Linked DNA regions of Danio rerio. The protein of the gene in region 1 purifies or fractionates together with the protein of each later gene. This does not show direct contact. Links are inferred from orthologs where the notes say so. Each region holds a gene or a part of one and is shown in the gene's direction. Other genes may lie near its edges.

What was found.
Region 2: the proteins of lrrk2 (region 1) and ncl purify together in Homo sapiens (co-immunoprecipitation; 3 studies listed by BioGRID and IntAct, with this or other methods). This does not show direct contact. The link is inferred for Danio rerio from reciprocal best matches to the Homo sapiens genes LRRK2 and NCL.
Region 3: the proteins of lrrk2 (region 1) and actb1 purify together in Homo sapiens (affinity purification with mass spectrometry; 3 studies listed by BioGRID and IntAct, with this or other methods). This does not show direct contact. The link is inferred for Danio rerio from reciprocal best matches to the Homo sapiens genes LRRK2 and ACTG1.

Annotation. Positions count from the first base shown.
Region 1 is NC_133200.1:38,201,200-38,207,109, reverse strand, and holds part of lrrk2 (leucine-rich repeat serine/threonine-protein kinase 2), read left to right. Parts: coding exon 1-142; intron 143-951; coding exon 952-1,064; intron 1,065-1,145; coding exon 1,146-1,336; intron 1,337-1,719; coding exon 1,720-1,880; intron 1,881-2,128; coding exon 2,129-2,299; intron 2,300-3,400; coding exon 3,401-3,501; intron 3,502-4,140; coding exon 4,141-4,353; intron 4,354-5,281; coding exon 5,282-5,475; intron 5,476-5,552; coding exon 5,553-5,625; intron 5,626-5,910. UniProt on the Homo sapiens protein: Serine/threonine-protein kinase which phosphorylates a broad range of proteins involved in multiple processes such as neuronal plasticity, innate immunity, autophagy, and vesicle trafficking.
Region 2 is NC_133197.1:38,757,074-38,763,756, reverse strand, and holds the start of ncl (nucleolin), read left to right. Parts: upstream 1-2,186; 5' UTR 2,187-2,320; coding exon 2,321-2,338; intron 2,339-5,100; coding exon 5,101-5,205; intron 5,206-5,285; coding exon 5,286-5,409; intron 5,410-5,505; coding exon 5,506-5,622; intron 5,623-5,978; coding exon 5,979-6,118; coding exon of another isoform or gene 6,119-6,119; intron 6,120-6,195; coding exon 6,196-6,325; intron 6,326-6,683. UniProt on the Homo sapiens protein: Nucleolin is the major nucleolar protein of growing eukaryotic cells. It is found associated with intranucleolar chromatin and pre-ribosomal particles. It induces chromatin decondensation by binding to histone H1.
Region 3 is NC_133176.1:10,080,332-10,086,900, reverse strand, and holds actb1 (actin, cytoplasmic 1), read left to right. Parts: upstream 1-2,072; 5' UTR 2,073-2,171; intron 2,172-3,139; 5' UTR 3,140-3,141; coding exon 3,142-3,264; intron 3,265-3,663; coding exon 3,664-3,903; intron 3,904-4,214; coding exon 4,215-4,653; intron 4,654-4,739; coding exon 4,740-4,921; intron 4,922-5,003; coding exon 5,004-5,147; 3' UTR 5,148-5,648; downstream 5,649-6,569. UniProt on the Homo sapiens protein: Actins are highly conserved proteins that are involved in various types of cell motility and are ubiquitously expressed in all eukaryotic cells.

The DNA of each region.
Region 1 (5,910 bases):
CTACTGGTGAACCCCGAGGACCCCAGCTGTACTTTACCCATCTCTCAGATTTCTCCAGACCTGGTACTGAGTGACCAGCCATCCAGCACCATACTGGACCCAGAGCAGCTGGAGATGGAGCTCACTGCAGAGTATATGTTGGGTCAGTTCATGCAAACATCCATATAGGGCTGGGCAGTATGACCACATATATTGTTACCTTCGAATAAACTGTCAACTGTAGTAAATGTTTTTATATTCTGTAAATTACACTATGTAATATAAGTGGGCGTGGCTAACTCTCATACAGTGGAGTGCTCGTAATAGTCAGCTCAGGAACTTTCACCTGTGATGTACAGTAACCGTTTTGGACTTACTACTGCTCTGAATATAAGTACAGAATAACTAGGTGTACAATATCCCTCTAAGTTAATCAGCCCCCCAGGTCCTAATGCCTACCCTGTTACACTAATAATTCAGATTAGACTTGGAAAATGAACGTAAAATACAAAACTAATGTGAAGTTATGTAAAAAAAAAAAAGTCATGTTTAATATTTTTGTGAATATGAAAAATGTGTTTTTTTTTTTTTTTTTTTTTTTTTTTTTTTTTGACTTTTTAACATCTGCTATATTTAAGCCTTTACAATAAAACTCTTAAAGCAGCCTCCTGCTGGGTCATAGTGCCTGCCCCTATTAGACGTTTACTCAGTGGCTGCAGTTTAACATTAATAACAAATAAAGAAAACAAATGATCCACATAAAAGAAAGAAGTTATGCAATATAACCTTGTTTTGTTTTTGTTTTTTTCTGGAATAACCACCTATTTAAATACTATATTTCACCACATAGTTATGATATGAATATAGGGGTGGGCGTATGACCAAAATTCTATAAGTTCCAATGATCTACCAATAGCTGACAAGCATGAAGGCAATGTGGATCGAAAGTAACAGTGTGTTTTTATACTGAAGGGGATGGAGGTTTTGGCTCGGTTTATAAAGCTGTCTACAAGAATGAAGAAGTTGCGGTCAAGATTTTTAATAAACATGCGTCTGCGCTGTACGTTCACCGGCTGGTACGACAGGTGAGTTATGCAGCAGGAACCTTGGTGTGTCCGCCACTATTGCTACATTGTTACTGATGCATCTTCCTGATCCATCTCCAGGAACTGGCAGTACTCGGCAGACTGTGTCATCCTAGTTTGGTGGGTCTTTTGGCTGCTGGTTGTAACCCACATATACTTGTGATGGAGTTGGCTCCGTATGGCTCTCTGGACTCGCTGTTTGAGCGTGAAAATGGCAGCTTAAGTCGCAAATTACAGCACAGGATTGCACTACATGTGGCTGATGGTCTCAAGTAGGTGCACTTCAAAACGCATTAATCACCTTTTAAAGAGACTAAATGTAGAAATCCGATAAACTTTTGTGACTATAGCGACACCGGTGGCCATTAAGTGAACTGGAGCCTTACATTTGTGTTTTTTTATTAACATAATGGGAAAGTAGTTCCAGTAGTTTAATACCATCGTTTACTGCTATTATGTGTGACATGCTTGTTTTCCCTAGCAAAAATGTCCTTTTTATATAAAGATAAAAACCTAGAAAGTCGACAAAGGACACGTTGGCAATAAAAAAAAGCATTTAATACACAATTCTTACACGCAGCCATTTTAAATAAATCTTCTCAGTTCAATGTCAACCTATAGGACGGTATCTGTGACTCGTTTTGTTTCCGAACAGATATTTGCACTCATCTATGATCATCTACCGAGACCTGAAGCCGCACAACGTTCTGCTGTTCAACCTGAAGACGGACGCTGAGATCGTCGCTAAAATCACAGACTATGGCATCGCGCAGTACTGCTGCAGCATGGGCGTCCGCAGCTCTGAAGGAACACCAGGTCTCGCTCATTTACCCATAATCCTCCTTTAAGATAAATGCTTTTATTTCAGCCAAACTGAAAGAAATAAAGAAAAAATAAGCATTGAAAAAGCATCTGTTAAACATCACTTGGGAAATATAATATGAATGTTTAATTTTGCCTTCAGCTGTAAGCCTATTGATGGAGAGAATTTTGAAGGTTTAAAATGGACACTTGCACTGAGGATTTTTACCTGTGTTGTGATTTTGAGTCTTGATCTTGCGCAGGTTTTCGAGCCCCGGAGGTGGCTCGAGGAAACGTCATCTACAACGTCCAGGCGGATGTTTATTCGTTCGGTCTGCTGCTGTATGATCTGTTAACATACGGCGAGCGCATCTCAGATGGCATGAAGTTTCCCAGTGAGTTCGATGAAGTGGCCGTGCAGGGCAAACTACCAGGTAATGCTCAGTTTGAGGCGAGACGCCCACATGATATTAAATTAGGGGGTTAAACACAGTTGTGTGTCAGCAGTGTGTGAAAATAACCAGCTTCTAATTGTAAAATAGTATTTATTGTATTTGTTAATATCAGACTTGATAACTGCAGAAATGCTTTGACATCATACAAAGGGAGAATGTCAATCAGAGGGGGAAAGACCCGCCCCCTAAAGTACCCATCTCTCCCTCAGAGCAGTGGCAGATTCAAAAACAAGACTGACGTCCTATGCTAATGACACACAGGCATCTGTAGCTCCGCCCTCTTTTGAAAAGAGAATGGAGTCATATTTGCATAGTCTCCACCTTTCGCGACATCAACACTAAAAATATTAGTTTACTTTTCGACACAGGATAAAACAGACCAATCAACTGAGACTTTGGTTTGCTGACCAATGAGAGCGGAGTTGGCTTATGGAAGGGGGAGGGGCTTACTGACCCCTGAAAGCAAGATGTAAACAAATACATTTTATATGCTCGATCATGCTGTGAGATGTTTGCCAGTTAGCACTGCATTAAAGCAATAGTTCACCCAAAAATAAAGGTTTGGAACAAGTAAAGGGTGAGTAAATCTTTGAGTCTCCTTATTGAGCTTAACGCTGAAGTTACCGCTAAACTTGTGTTTTGCAGAAACATGAAACTCAAAACAAACTTTAACAAGTGAAGGAAGAGTAAATGGTGACAGCATTTTATTTTTGGGGTGAATTATCCCTATTCTTATTATACTGTTCCTATTATACTATCCCTACCATTATTATACTATCCCAATCCCTATTTTACTATCCCTATTACTATACTATCCCTATTATTATTATACCATCCCTATCATATATTATCCCTATACCTGTTATTATGCTATCCCTATCATTATTATTATTATTATTATTATTATTATACTATACCTATTATGTTATCCCTATACCTGTTGTTATACTAAATCTATTATGCTATCCCTGTTATTATTATTATTATTATTATTATTATTATTATTATTGTTGTTGTTGTTGTTGTTATTTTACTATGCCTATTCATTAGAAAATTGTCTTAAAATAACCTGTTGTGTAGATCCAGTGAAGGATTACGGCTGTTCTCCATGGCCTGAGATTGAGTCTCTCATGAGGGAATGTATGAGAGAAAACCCCCAGGACAGGCCGACGTCTGCTCAGGTGAGACTTGGGTTTACACTACCATCATATTAGGAGTATTACTACTATTATATTCCCACACCATCCCAAACACCGACCTCCACCTTCTCTTGAAAGTCATGTTGTAGTTTTTATGTAGTGTTGAAGTCAAAATGATTCGCTGTCCTGTAAATTATTTTGTTCCTTTTCCAATATTTCCCAAATGATGTTGAACAGATTCAAGAATTTTTCACAGTAATTCCTATAATATTTTTTTCTTCTTAATTGTTTTATTTAGGCTAGAATAAAAGCAGTTTTTAATTGTTGTAAAGGCATTTTAAGGTCAATATTATTCACCCCCTTAAGCAATATTAGTGTTGGATTGTCTCCAGAATAAACCACTGTTATACAATGACTTGCCTAATTACCCTAACTTTACCCCAATTACCCTAGTGAAGCCTTTAAATGTCACTTTAAGCTGAATACAATCATCTAGATGAATATCTAGTGTAATAATATGTGCAGTCGTCATGACAAAGATAAAATTAGTCAGTTATTAGAGATGAGTTATTAAAACTTATGATTAGAAATGTGCTGAAAAATCTATACATTAAACAGAAATTGGGGAAAACGATATACAGAGGGGATAATATTCTTACTTTAACTGTAAATGTGTTTCAGGTGTTTGATCGTCTGAACTCTGCAGAGATGTTGTGTCTGATGCGAGAGCTGAATGTTGTGGGTTTTCCAGGCGAGTGTTTTGTCGTGTCCAATTCAGGCGGAGCTGCAAACGGAGGTAAAAACCCTCATGTGTGGATCGGTGGTGGCAGCAGCAGCCAGAAACTGGGCTGTGTGACTGCGGTGGATCTGGAGACCGGCGGGAGTTTGAACCAGGTGCTAAAACATGCAGATTTATTGCATCAAGATTTAAAGGTCCCGTGCTTTGACATGTGAACTTTTTTTTTTTTATTCGATGTTTGACAATCTTAAACGAAACATGAATCGAGGGCGGGGCATAGAGTAGCTCCTCCCATTTTTTAAAAGCATGCTAACAGAATGCTAAAGCATATTCATTGTGTTAAAACATAATGAATATGCTTTAGCATTCTGTTAGCATGTTTTAACACAATGAATATGCTTTAGCATTCTGTTAGCATGTTTTAACACATAATGAATATGCTTTAACATTCTGTTAGCATGTTTTAACATACCAAATATGCTTTAGCATTCTGTTAGCATGTTAACACATAATGAATATGCTTTAACATTCTGTTAGCATGTTTTAACATACCAAATATGCTTTAGCATTCTGTTAGCATGTGTTAAAACATGCTAACAGAATGCTAAAGCATATTTGGTATGTTAAAACATGCTAACAGAATGTTAAAGCATATTCATTATGTGTTAACATGCTAACAGAATGCTAAAGCATATTCATTATGTGTTGAAGCATGCTAACAGAATGTTAAAGTATGTTCATAATATTTTAAAACATGTTAACAGAACGTTAAAGCATATTAGTTATGTGTTAAAACATGCTAGCAGAATGCTTAAGCATATTAGCATGTTAAGACTTGCTATAACATGCTAATTCACATTATCATAGTCTTAATCATGTTAGCAACATCTTAATGAATCCAAATAGAATGTTACAAACATTTTAGGAGGCAATAGCCATGTTTCTAGCATGTTTTAACACATGGCTAATGCTTCCTGACATGTTTATTATATAAACTATATTGTGCTAATTCATGCTAGAAATGTGCATCATTTAGCCAGCTATTTACTATAACAGTGTACTGTTCCTAATGCTGTGTTTCAGGAGCTGGACCGCAGCCCTATCCTCTGCATGGTGATCATCAGAGCTGCAGACTCGTGCAGTGACTGGCTAGTGGCTGGTTCAGAGTCCGGTTCGCTCTTTATCATGGACACCATTAATGCGAAAGTCCTGCACCGTCTGAAGAGTGTGAAGGACTCTGTGACGTCTCTGTACTTTCACACCGAGCTCCAGCACAGGTTAATAAATCTGCTTGTGACACACGCTTGGTTGATCTAGCTTAAATTGAAAAAATGATGCTTATTTTTGTCTGCAGATGTCTGAAGAGTTATCTTTTGGTGGGCACAGCAGACGGGACACTGGTCATTTATGAAGATTCAGCCCTGAAGGTATTGAATCATTGTTTTGCAATGTTCAATCATTCATTTCCTTTTCGGCTTAGTCCCTTTATTAATCTGGGGTCGCCACAGCGGAATGAACTGACAATTACTCCAGCATATGTTTTACACAGTGGATGCCCTTCCAAGTACTAGGAAACACCTATACACACCTATTTACACACTCATACACTACGGCCAATTTAGTTAATTCCTCTATAGCGCATGTGTTTGGACCCACACCAACACGAGGAGAACATGCAAACTCCACACAGGAATGCCAACTGACCCTGCCGG
Region 2 (6,683 bases), on another chromosome or scaffold:
TGTGTGAAATCTAGATGAAGGTCTGCTTGAATGGAACAAGTGGGAGTCTCTTTCTGGTGAGCGTTTCAGTGGGCGGAGCCGTTGGGTTCAGTGTGTGTGTGTGTGTGTGTGTGTGTGTAGGGTGGTTCATATAAAGCACGCGTAAGTTACTCAAAGATGTGATTTCAGAGTTTGCATGCACACAAAAATATCAGTATGTTCATATTTCTTAACAATCTCTACACGGAAGAAAAAAAAAAAAACACGGAAAAGTGCAGCTCTGAGAAGATGAAGAATCAGGGTCTGGGAAGACGTTTTAGCATGATTGACATTGGCATCATCCAATCGGCAGGTAGCGCCGTCTTTTTTAAAAGCCTGATTGGTTGATGCTTGGGATGCCTCACGTGTGATTGTTTATATTTAAATTTACAAAATAAAAAAAATAAGTTTTCTTGTAAATATATTTTTGATATACAACAATAATAATAATAAAACTTTCGAGCAAATTTGTAAAATAAATTTCATGATTATATATAAGAAGTGCCATATAGACGAATTACCATGTTTGCAAACAACAAGGTACCAGAAGAAAAAAAAAACGGGAGCGCTAGCATTTACAGCGAGGCACAGAGTTTGTTTTTGTCTAAGAAATAAGTTATATTGACAACATACGTATATATATATATATATATATATATATATATATATATATATATATATATATATATATATATATATATATATATATATATATATACATATATATATATATAAATAAATAAATATATATGTATATATATATATATATATATAAAATTTACATAATGCTTTTAGCGTATTATAACAGCTCGTCACCCAGTGATAAGCACAGTGATTCTGTAAAATTAACGTTAAAGTGAGTGACATACCAGTTCATACTGACAATATACTGATCCACATTAGAAACATGACATGCCTTGCAATGACACACACACACACACACACACACACACACACACACACACACACACACACACACACACACACACACACACACACAGACACACACACATATATATATATATATATATATATATATATATATATATATATATATATATATATATATATATATATATATATATATATGGTAATGACATACCAATATATACTAATCATACTTGAAACATACTCAGAACACCTTAGCAACCACCTAGCAACCACTCAAAACACCTTAGCAACCACCTAGCAACACCTTAGAAATGACCTAGCAACTGCTAGCAACATCTTAGTAACCACCTGAAACACCTGAAACACCCTAGCAACCACCTAGCAATGCCTTGCAATGACACACACACACACACACACATATATATATATGGCAATGCTTTAGCAACCACTCAGAATTCCCAGGCAACACCTTAGCAACGGCCTAGCAACCAATCAGAGCATGCTAGCAACCACCTAGCAACACATAAGCAACGAGCTAGATCATCTATAGCAACCACCTAACACCTCCTTAGCAACCACTCAGAACACATCAACCGACTAGCAACATCTTAGTAACCACCTAGAACACCCTAGCAACTGCCTAGAAACACCTTAGCTACCGCCTAGCAAAACCTTAGCAACCACTCAGAACACATAAGCAACCACCTAGCAACGTCTTAGAAACCACCTGGAACACCCTAACAACTTCCTAGTAATGCCTTAGCAACAACTCAGAAGTCCCAGGCAACACCTTAGCAACCGCCTAGCAATGCCTTAGCAACTACTTATTAACACCTTAGCAACCACTCAGAACACCCTAACAACTGGCTAGCAACACCTTAGCAACCAATCAGAACAACCAAACAACTGAGTTGCAATGCCTTGCCAACTGCATAGCAACCACTGAGAACCCCTAGCAACATACCAAACTATATTGGAAACATGCTAATCTTTTGATAACTGTTTCAAACTTAAAACACTTCAGTTATTTAAACTTCACACTTTCAGACTCGGCTTTCTCAAGAGACCAAGTTTGTCTACGAACTTTAAATTTCTAGTTCATTCATTCATTCATTCATTCATTCATTCATTCATTCATACTGTTCAATGAGCGCAAAAAAATCAGAAAAAAACTGTTCAAAAGAACCGAATGGAGATAACGAGTCTGAACAGCAGCGACTCGGTTCACATTGAGCTTCGTGAACGCGCATATGGTAAACGTCATGGGTGTAGTGGGCGGGGTTTTTCAGGACGTACTAAAAGCGTATCGAGCGCTCTTTTCTGTCCTGTAGAGAGAAACACGTGTGACTGAACGGTTCTTACCATCTCTCTCTTTCAGTTATCAGCTTTACTGTAAAAACAGCCCTCAGTCATGGTAAAGCTCGCTAAGGTAAGATATTACCGTCAATCCGTTATTGTCGCTTTAAATGCAGCACGGATCTCAAAATGCGTATTTTCCTGTTTTTATTTTTACATTTGGCGAGAAGGCCCATGTGTGTGAGTTATATTTAGTTTAACATATATAATATTCGTCGGAATGTAAGGTTAAATATTCAAATACTTATTTAAGGATCAGTATTGACGGCTAAAATGAGCTAGCGTGTGTTTTCTGCTTTTCCTGTTTGTGAAGGTAACATGGCCGACCACGCTTCTGCATTTGCAGGCCTCAACAAACACGCATGATGAACATGCGTGGTGAATTTTAAGAAGACTCGTTTTGTGATGTTGTAAAAACAAATTGCGTTGATTAATAAACCCTGGGGAGGTGTTAATGTGTCGTGGATTTAGCTCCAAGGCATTTGTTCGCCATGCGTGGAAAGTAGCTAAATGCTAAACGCCTCCATTTTGGCTCTCTGTAGTGAATGTGGGGGCATTTAACACGTATAAGACCGTGCACTAAACACAATTGCGTTTTAACTCGTGTTTCACTGTTTATATGAGTCAAGTATGTAAATGCGGCACGAAATTTAATTTAATTACGTTATTTCTACTTCGCTGTAGGGTTAACGTGTGTTTTCCACGTGTTACGTTCAACCCACGTGGGATGATCCACGCGGGGAGTTTCGCGAGCAGTACTTTACTTTTTGAGTACTTTGTTACAGATCCATACTTAAGAAATATTCATTAACAGTCATAATTTTATTTTAGTTTATTATTTGTATAAGTACATTATTTACATTAAGTCATGCACTTAATAGTCAAATTTTAAAAGGTTGTACCACGAATGAATTATATGCAAAATCTCCAATAACACGTGTTACACCTTTAGTGATTGAAAGGTAAAAATGTTGGATTTTAGGAACCAATCTAAATATTTTAATTGGTGTTGTGCCAGTCTTGTATTTATCTTTTTTTTTTTTTTTTTTTTTTTTTTTGCACATTTGTCTTATAAATGTATTAATACTAAAGATGAAAAGTTTTAGATGAGAATTCAGATTTTTATGCGAAATCTTACGCTTGTTTATGCAAGATTGTGTTTGTGTTTTAAACATGCACAAGTTACCTGTGAACTTAATGAATGCCAAGTCTTGTTAAATGTACACAAGTCAACATTTGAGGATGGTTAAGACCTTTCATTGGTCAACTATGTCTGTCTTGAGACAACTTGGGTGTACTTTTTTTTTTCCCCCCCTAGATGTTTAGTTTATTTGACCCTTTCATAGCCCTAACTGCAAGAGCTAAGGGGGATGTGCGATTTGGAGAAAATGTCTTGATTGCAATTTTTGTTTTGACAGATTTTTTTGATTTGAGTCAAGATTCAGCTCAGTCTGTTTCACTGCATAGATATGATTATTATTATATATGTTATTATATATTAATAATATTAATTTCACCATTTATTCAAATTAGTTGTTAAATATTCAGAAATTGAAATCATTTTTCGCTTGAGCAAACAGTAAGATAAAAAAAATTACCTTTCCTTTTTGTGCATCAGCTCAAAGTAAGGAGATGATGTAGCTTATTTAAGGTATCTGCAGAATTGTAAAGTTTTAAAATTAAATATATATGAATTTTAGGCCTTAAAGTCTTTAATCCGCTGCACTATTGTGTTGTAGGTCTTAATTTTAAACTGGTCTTAATTTTCCTCTGTAAAGCTATACCCAATCAGGACAGCACCCGTCTAATAACTAACATTATATTTCATAAGTTTAAAAAAAACATCATTTACACTATTTGCATATTAATATGGTTTTATTTATCTTTGCAAAAACATTTGTTTTTAATGATATGGTTTTAACTTGGCCATTAAAAAATCTTTAGTGTTTAGCCTTGTGCAAGTCTGAATTGGTCTTAAATTTGACTTGCTGGAACTTGTAGACACCTTGTTATTATACTTACAATAATATAATAATTGTGAAAGTACACTCCGCAAATTAATGAGACCGATAAGAGGCAGATTGAAAAGTTCTGATTGGGCAGAACGAAAGTGTGCTCACTCAATCGGCTAGTAAGACTTGACATTTGCTCTGAGTGTGGGACATTAAGTACATATTCTACATCGTAGTGCATTAAATCAGAATAATTGTCACTGATTTAAGTGAACATTTGTATAAAAATTCATGTAGGGTTTTTTTTTTCATTAATATATATATAATGACATTTGAGATTTCAAGTGTGAAAAGATTAATAATGGATCATGCTATAAACATGGTGACATTCAGAATTTTGTATTCTTGTCAGCTTTACCAATTGTAAGTTTCTAATTCAATGCAATATGGTTTCAGCTATGACTGTTTATGAAGTATGAACGCTGAGCATACAGATGTATTAAATTTATTGCACTTTTAAAGCTTTATATAGCCTAAACAAGAGTAGCCACACCTCATGATCTCCAAACAAATGCTGAAGTGAAAGCGTTCGAATGCATCAAGATTGAATGTGTCATTGATTGAAGCTTAAACTATATGCTGTCATTTCTGCATAATGGCATCTAGCTAATTTATAAAGGGTGGAACTCGTGTTTAATACATGCACAAGTGCTAAAACAATCTGTTAAATCTTTCTTGCACCGCAGGACTGAAACTGAAACTGAAACCATTTGAGGTTTCTGTTGACTAAATGTGCAAAGCTTTGACTGTCTAGTTGCTAAATCAATTTCTAATCGCACAAATCAACATTTAAATTAATATTTTCATTGCTTGTTTGTTACAGGCAGCTAAAAAAGATGCGCCGCCGAAGAAAAAGGCACCTCCACCTCCTAAAGAAGTGGAAGAGGAATCCAGCGAGGAGGACAGTGATGACGATGAGGAAGAAGAGGTGAGGAGGCTGACAAATAATGCGCTTTATTTTTTTCCTGTTGCTATTGAAAGGTATTTAATGAACTGTGTATTCGGCAGGCACCACCAGTCAAAGCTGTAGCGAAGAAAAACGCGGCTCCTGTGAAGGCAGTGAAAAACGGAAAAGCTGCTGCCAAACAGGAGAGTGAGGATGAAGATGACGACGATGAAGATGATGAATCTGGTTAGCAAAGTTTTCAGTCGTGCATTTTTATTTTATTTTTTTTATTCCTTTGAGTCTGAAGGTCAGGTGTAATTTGCATTGACTTGTACTTCACAGAAGAGGAAGCTCCGCCTCCAAAGAAGGCCGCTAAAGCTCCAGCTAAAGCAGCAGCTCCTGCAAAGAAAGCAGCTCCTGCTGAAGAGTCCAGTGAAGAGGATGACGACGATGATGATGGTATGAAAACTATCTGCCTAGATGTTTATTAGATCAGCAGTTTTAAAGGGATAGTTCACAGTTATTAAATGACTCATTTACTCTCCCTCAAGTGGTTCCTAACCTGATTGACTTTTCTGAACACTGAAGATGATAGCCATTGACTTCCATAGTACAAAAAACAAACTAAGAAGATCAATGGTTACTGGTGTACAAGATGTTTCAATTTCTTTTTATTAGGCAAAGGGTGTGAAATTGATTGCATTTTTTGGGTGGTCTATTACCAAGGAAATTAAATGCATTATCAATTTTAATGAATTTAACCCTTTAGGCATGATTAAAATGTATTACTTTTATATAATCTTCTGTATTTCTAGATGATGAATCCGAGGAAGAGGCTCCACCTCCCAAGAAGGCTCCTGCCAAAGCTACACCAGCTAAAGCCACACCAGCCAAGAAAGCAGCTCCCGTGAAGAAAGCAGCTCCTGCTGAGGAGTCTGAGGATGACGATGATGATGGTATGTAATATTCTGGTTTTAAGTGAAATCAAATGCACAATGCGTCATCTAAATCAATGTCTTTGCTTCCATTTGCGAAGATGAATCTGAAGAGGAAGAAGCTCCGCCTCCTAAAAAAGCTGCAGCAGCGGCTAAACCTGCAGCTAAAGCACCTGCAGCCAAAGAGGAGTCAGATGAAGAGGAGGATGATGACGAAGAGGAGGATGGTGAGTGTTTGATTGAAATATTTTATGAAATGCTGCATGCTTTGTGGTGAGTACTGAAACCTTCTGATAATGCAGTGGGACAAATGTTAAATTATTTTAAGGTGGAGCATTATTGATGCCATCAAAGTGAATGAGCTATGGAGAAAGCTTTATAATACAGTTTTCTACTGGATCCCAGGACATGTTGGACTATTTGTAAATGAACAAGCAGACAAGATTAAGCAGAATAGGATTAGTGCTCAGAAAATATGTAACTTATTGAAATCCAGCCAGTATTTTATTTATTTTTATTAACTCCAGACATGAGATTGTTTACATAAGATGCTGTGTTGCTCATAAGATTTACTTGTGGACATTT
Region 3 (6,569 bases), on another chromosome or scaffold:
ACTGACATTTCAATAACCATAGCTCCTAAAGATTTTAACATTAAATGCACAATTTAGTCCTCTTTTTGGTTTCATGCTGACAAGATAAGACAAGAATTGCAAAGCCCCCTGGATAAGGCATGCTGCCACGCGTCTCAGATTGCCCATGCTAAAGGCAGGACATTATAACTGGCATTAACATCTATTTATGACCCCATGGCCTCCTAAAAAACCCGAATAGGTAAAGGATTTACATATTTCAATGTAAATTCATATCAAATCGATCTGGGACCTTGTTTAGCCAAAATAAACGCTGTGTAGTATTTTGGTTTCTTTCATGATAGCATTTGTTGCTAATAGTCCCTACACATTTATCAATGTAAACTAGTCTTTGCTTCAAAACATCAGCATTTAACATTTAAGAATGGGCAGATTAGGGAGTGGGCAGATGTATTAGGTGTCATCCTGGTGACGTTTTAACAGCCATTGCTCCTTACGATTTTAACATTAAATGCACAATTTAGTCCCCTTTTTGGTTTCATGCTGATAAGATAAGAATTGCAAAGCACCATGGATAGGGCGTGCTGCCACGCGTCTCAGATTGCCCAAGCTGAAGGCAGGACATTTAAAACTGGGATTAACACCTATTTATGACCCCTTGGTTCCTCTGAAAAACCGGAATATGCTAAAGAATTTACATATTTTCAATGAAAAGTCATATTAAATCAATTTGGGATCTCGTTTAGCCTAAATAGGAACCCTTTCTAGTATTTTTTTTTCCTTGAAGCCATTAGCCTAGCCTATCAGTGTCACATTACTTTATCGAATGTAAACTAAACAGTCTGTGCTTCAAAACATTCACGACATATAGTGTTATTCAATAGTTTATATTATCAGTCTTTTTAAGTAACAGGGTATGTAGGCTGATTTTTTTTGTGCACTCTTCAGATTCCAGTAATGCAGCAGCGTGAAGCGTCATCGGTTTATGACGTAATTACGCAAAAGCCGGCTTGACAGGAAGTGTTGTTTTCTATGGAGCACCGTGCCCTTGTTTTGTATCCCCTGCTTTGCAGATAACCAGATAAAATGAAATATGCTTAATACGGTTGCATCTAACATGCCGAGCGGCGATGTAACAGACGCCGATCTGAGCAACAACAAAACAATAGTCAATATTTCATTAATTTCCGAATGACTCCTGATCTTCTGCAGCTTTACATCCATGATATTATAAACAGCAAAGCATTATGCACAAAAGCAACCTACGATTGAATTAAACAGTGCAATGTTCACAAATAAAGCCTTTTTTAAATATGCTTTTACATTATGTTTTATAGAGTCACGAGAAGTACCTGTACTTTAAATGGGAGCCACGCCCACGTTGTTCATCAAACTAACCTAATAAAATGACACACTTAAAATGTCTTCTCAAGAATTAATCGTAAATGAGTCGTTTTCAACTAGCTGTCAAACATTAACTGAAATGTAAAGCAGATTAGTGTATAACGTTAATCAAATAATGATTTCTTCTCTGTTCTACCAATAATGGCTCTTGTATAACGTTAGTTTACACATTGTTGTCATTTATAGAGCTGAAACATACAGTAAAATACAATATAAGTTTAAATACTATTGGACAATGTCGTACTGCTATGTTTAAACGTCCTGTCATTCCTGCAGCCTAAGTACAGCTTATATAAATGCAACTTTACATCATGCATTGCTCGTTTTTCACAGAAATAATAAACTATTTAACGTTACTCGCTGTATGTGAGGTTATTTAAAAGTAACGTTAAGCCACAGACATGAAGTCTAGCATCCTTTACTGATTTAACTGTGTTCCAATCCAAATGATATACATATCCTTAATTCAAGTGTTACATCTGCCAATGCTGTGTCAAATCAACTTATCGTGTATTTCCTTATCAAATTATTTCGCCTTTTCGCCGATCCCTGACATACATTATTTCAACCCAGAACTTGAATTTCAAGCAACTAGCTTGAAACTCGCCAAGTGGACGACGGCTGGCCAATCAGACCGCTCGCTGCCGAAAGTTTACCTTATATGGAAGGAGCCGGCCGCAGTGCCGGCTATAAAGCTGTGACCCACCTCACGCTCAGCATTGTGAGTTTTCAGTGCACGCTGAGAAGATCTTCACTCCCCTTGTTCACAATAACCTACTAATACACAGGTGAGAATGCTTTTATATTAATATTTACTGGTATTTGGAATAATTTAGTAATGCTTATGATGATTATTGGAGATTTATTTATTAAAGCTATATTTCATTTTGCTTGCTGATCGGATTTGAATTGAAGTCTTGGTCCTGTCTGCCTAAATATGTACTTTGCTGTTGATTTTTACAACGCTGAATAAGTTATGCTGATTTTTGTGCTTGTGTTTTATTAATGGTTTTAACCGGTAGCAGTTCCAGCTTTCAAAGCTAACGTTAGAGTAATACAACTGTAAAGCCTTCTACATAAAGCGATTTATTAAATTCATATTTGGTAGTAAATTGATTTTTAATGTAAGGTTTAATTTAAATGTGGATTTATTAATCAACGTTAACGTTAGTATCATCAACGGCAGTGTTCGCAGTTTGAATGGTGGGTGTGGCTACTATAACGCATTAACCGGTATCACTGCCGTTTAATTCGTGTGCACGGTCAAATATATATAAAAGCTTTTAAAGTTTCTTGTTTGTCTGTAACGTTGTTGGGATTTCATAAACTTGTCAGTCACACACGAAGTTAAAGATTATTGCAGCACTTCTAGTTCGTTAAAGTTAAGTTACTCTTTCTGTTGAAATGGCTTCGTTTTATTTCCTTTTCAAAAGACAAGAGCGTGTTTTAGTGAGCACCGGGATTTCACTCGTGGCGTTGTAAAGCGCTTATCTCGGCCTTTGAGACCGGGAGGGAGTGGTCGCGTCCGTTGGTCTGATTCCACGCGCTGAATCGGCGGCATTGAGCTGCTCTAACTTATTGCCATATAAGGCAATAGTGAGGCTGCCTGGCCACTTCCTTTGTCTCAAATCTCTTGGTTTCAACCCTGCGCCTTTGCGCCGCCTACTGGCCAGACGTCACAAATCCATCAGTCATCACCGCCTATAAAAGACACTACCCATTCATATTTTAACAGTTTCGCTTTTTTTCCCTACAGCCATGGATGAGGAAATCGCTGCCCTGGTCGTTGACAACGGCTCCGGTATGTGCAAAGCCGGTTTTGCTGGAGATGATGCCCCTCGTGCTGTTTTCCCCTCCATTGTTGGACGACCCAGACATCAGGTACATTTAATAAACCATCCTAATAACATGTTAATCATATTGAACCACATTAAACTCTCATTTGTGCATTTTACATCTTTTAAAATCGATTTATATTCGTTTTTAGATAATGAAGTTTATTAAAGTGTTAATTCACAGCTTTATTGCCTGTTTTGAGAATCTGCTTGCATAAGTGATTTTTAAACTTGATCTGATTCTCGTTTGTTTCGAAGTTCTTCAGCTTTGAAAGTCAGATCTAATAAAAGTTAATTTAAGCGTTCATTACAATAAATTCAAGTGAATCTGTTTTAAGCTAACCTTCAACGTTTTTAAATTCCTTCAAACAAATTGGTTCCTCTTTGCAGTTCCTCATTTCTCGGTGAGCTGGTGCTTTAATCCCTTTACTTTTTCTTCCTCTAGGGAGTGATGGTTGGCATGGGACAGAAAGACTCCTATGTGGGAGATGAGGCCCAGAGCAAGAGAGGTATCCTGACCCTCAAATACCCCATTGAGCACGGTATTGTGACTAACTGGGATGACATGGAGAAGATCTGGCATCACACCTTCTACAATGAGCTCCGTGTTGCCCCTGAGGAGCACCCTGTGCTGCTCACTGAGGCTCCCCTGAATCCCAAAGCCAACAGAGAGAAGATGACACAGGTGTGTTCCTGTGATCAATTTGATTTTCATATTGCCTTATTTGGCTTTCTTCCCCTCTTTGTTCACTTCCTTTCTGTCCATTTCCTCTTAGGCTCTGTCACTTGCCATGATCTCTTGATAGGAGGTTCAAAAGGTTCATCCCTATTTTTTCATTCCTTTTCCCCCTCTTGCATGGTAGCTTCTAACCTTAACTCTCCACAGTTGAGCGTTTTAGCATGGTGTGTTGGAGGCTTTCTTGCCCTGTTGTGCACCCATACTCACGCAGATTTGAGGCTCTGAGTTTGGTTTTTAACCAATTATCTCTTCTACAGATCATGTTCGAGACCTTCAACACCCCTGCCATGTATGTGGCCATCCAGGCTGTGCTCTCTCTGTACGCTTCTGGTCGTACTACTGGTATTGTGATGGACTCTGGTGATGGTGTGACCCACACCGTGCCCATCTATGAGGGTTACGCTCTTCCCCATGCCATCCTGCGTCTGGATCTGGCTGGTCGTGACCTGACAGACTACCTGATGAAGATCCTGACCGAGCGTGGCTACAGCTTCACCACCACGGCCGAAAGAGAAATTGTCCGTGACATCAAGGAGAAGCTGTGCTACGTGGCCCTGGACTTTGAGCAGGAGATGGGAACCGCTGCCTCCTCTTCCTCCCTGGAGAAGAGCTATGAGCTGCCTGACGGTCAGGTCATCACCATTGGCAATGAGCGTTTCCGTTGCCCCGAGGCTCTCTTCCAGCCTTCCTTCCTGGGTGAGTTCCTTGCCATGCATTTAAACTGATCTCCCTTTCAAAAGTGATCCTTCAACAGTGACTAACGTTTGCTTTTATTGGTGCAGGTATGGAATCTTGCGGTATCCATGAGACCACCTTCAACTCCATCATGAAGTGCGACGTGGACATCCGTAAGGACCTGTATGCCAACACAGTGCTGTCTGGAGGTACCACCATGTACCCTGGCATTGCTGACCGTATGCAGAAGGAGATCACCTCTCTTGCTCCTTCCACCATGAAGATCAAGGTGATGCACCTGCCCATTTTCACTTTCATAGCAGTTTGCTTGCAGTGATTTCAGATGAGCTAACGTCCCCTTTCTCTTGTAGATCATTGCTCCCCCTGAGCGTAAATACTCCGTCTGGATCGGTGGCTCCATCTTGGCCTCCCTGTCCACCTTCCAGCAGATGTGGATCAGCAAGCAGGAGTACGATGAGTCTGGCCCATCCATCGTCCACAGGAAGTGCTTCTAAACAGAACTGTTGCCACCTTAAAATGGCCATGCAATGAGATTCAAACGAACGACCAACCTAAACCTCTCGAACAAGATGACATCAGCATGGCTTCTGCTCTGTATGGCGCATTGACTCAGGATGCGGAAACTGGAAAGGGAGGTAGTTGTCTAACAGGGGGAGGAGCTTTCCCCGAGAGGACTTCAATGTACATTTCTTTTAGTCATTCCAGAAGCGTTTACCACTTTGCCCTCCTCACAATGGGCGTCCATGACCTTTTTGTTATAGTGTTTATGTAAATTATGTACTCGATACATTGTTTTTCTTTTTGTACTTCAGCCTTAAACTTGGCCCAGTTTGTTATTGTTGCAATGAGGGGAAAGCTTTACCTTTTAAAAAGTGAAGATCTTGCAGGACTTCCCTAGGGTATGTGAATAAGGGATGTCCCTTGAAAATGTAAGCCAGGGTGTCTCTGTACACTGACAAGTCAACCCAAATAAAACGTGCACATGTAAAACCACACAATGTCTACTGTCCTTAGTTGTCCAAACTCTTGTTTTAAAGTGAAGCTGTGTCTGTAACTGTACTCCAGTCTTTTTCTTTGGATGCAAATTCACAGTGGCATCTTTAAATCCTGTCAGTATATCATGATTTTTAAAGTACAGGCCAGTGTTAAGTTACAGTGCCAAGTAGCATCTCTTCTAGATTATTACAGTTACCAATGCAAGAAGCTTCTAACTAAAATTTACTTACTCGAGCAGCTTTACAGTACAAGTGTTTTGTATAGACTTGCTCAAAGGAGTTGCCAGTTTTAGGTTCATCAATTTGACTTGAGTTTAAGTGCAAAAGCAAATTTGAAGTTTGCTTTATCAAAGGTCCAGTAAATGCACTTAAGTAGTCTGTTACTTTACAATAGCTACGAGCACTTTGAGTCAAGATGGATAAGCAAAATGACTATACATGGCTCCTGATCAAATCAAAACGCTGCAAGAAACCTTAAATACAAAGGATGTGCATGTATGTTGCGTTCTGTTTGTTATAAGCTGGATTTTGCACCCCAAAATCCATGCAGCTTTTATTTAAGCAAGGCAAATGAGAACATCACCTCTGTCTGCTGTGAAGTCTTGCCATTTATATTTGCTCTAATACAAATTGAACATGGAAGACATAAAATGAAAGTATTTAAGAAGAGAATTATTTGAGACCTTTTATCTGTACATGTTCTAATGAAGCTCAGTTTATTTGTTTTCCTTTCAACATCTTATTTTGCTTCATATTACATTTATGTGCTGCACCAAACTATACTGACCAGAAATAATAGATTGCACTGGTCAGAAGTTATTACACAATCTAATGTTGGAAGCAAACTTCATAGATCCTTAATTATTAATAGTTGTTTACATTTTGATGTATTTGTTTCCTTAAACTGCGCCACTAAGAAAA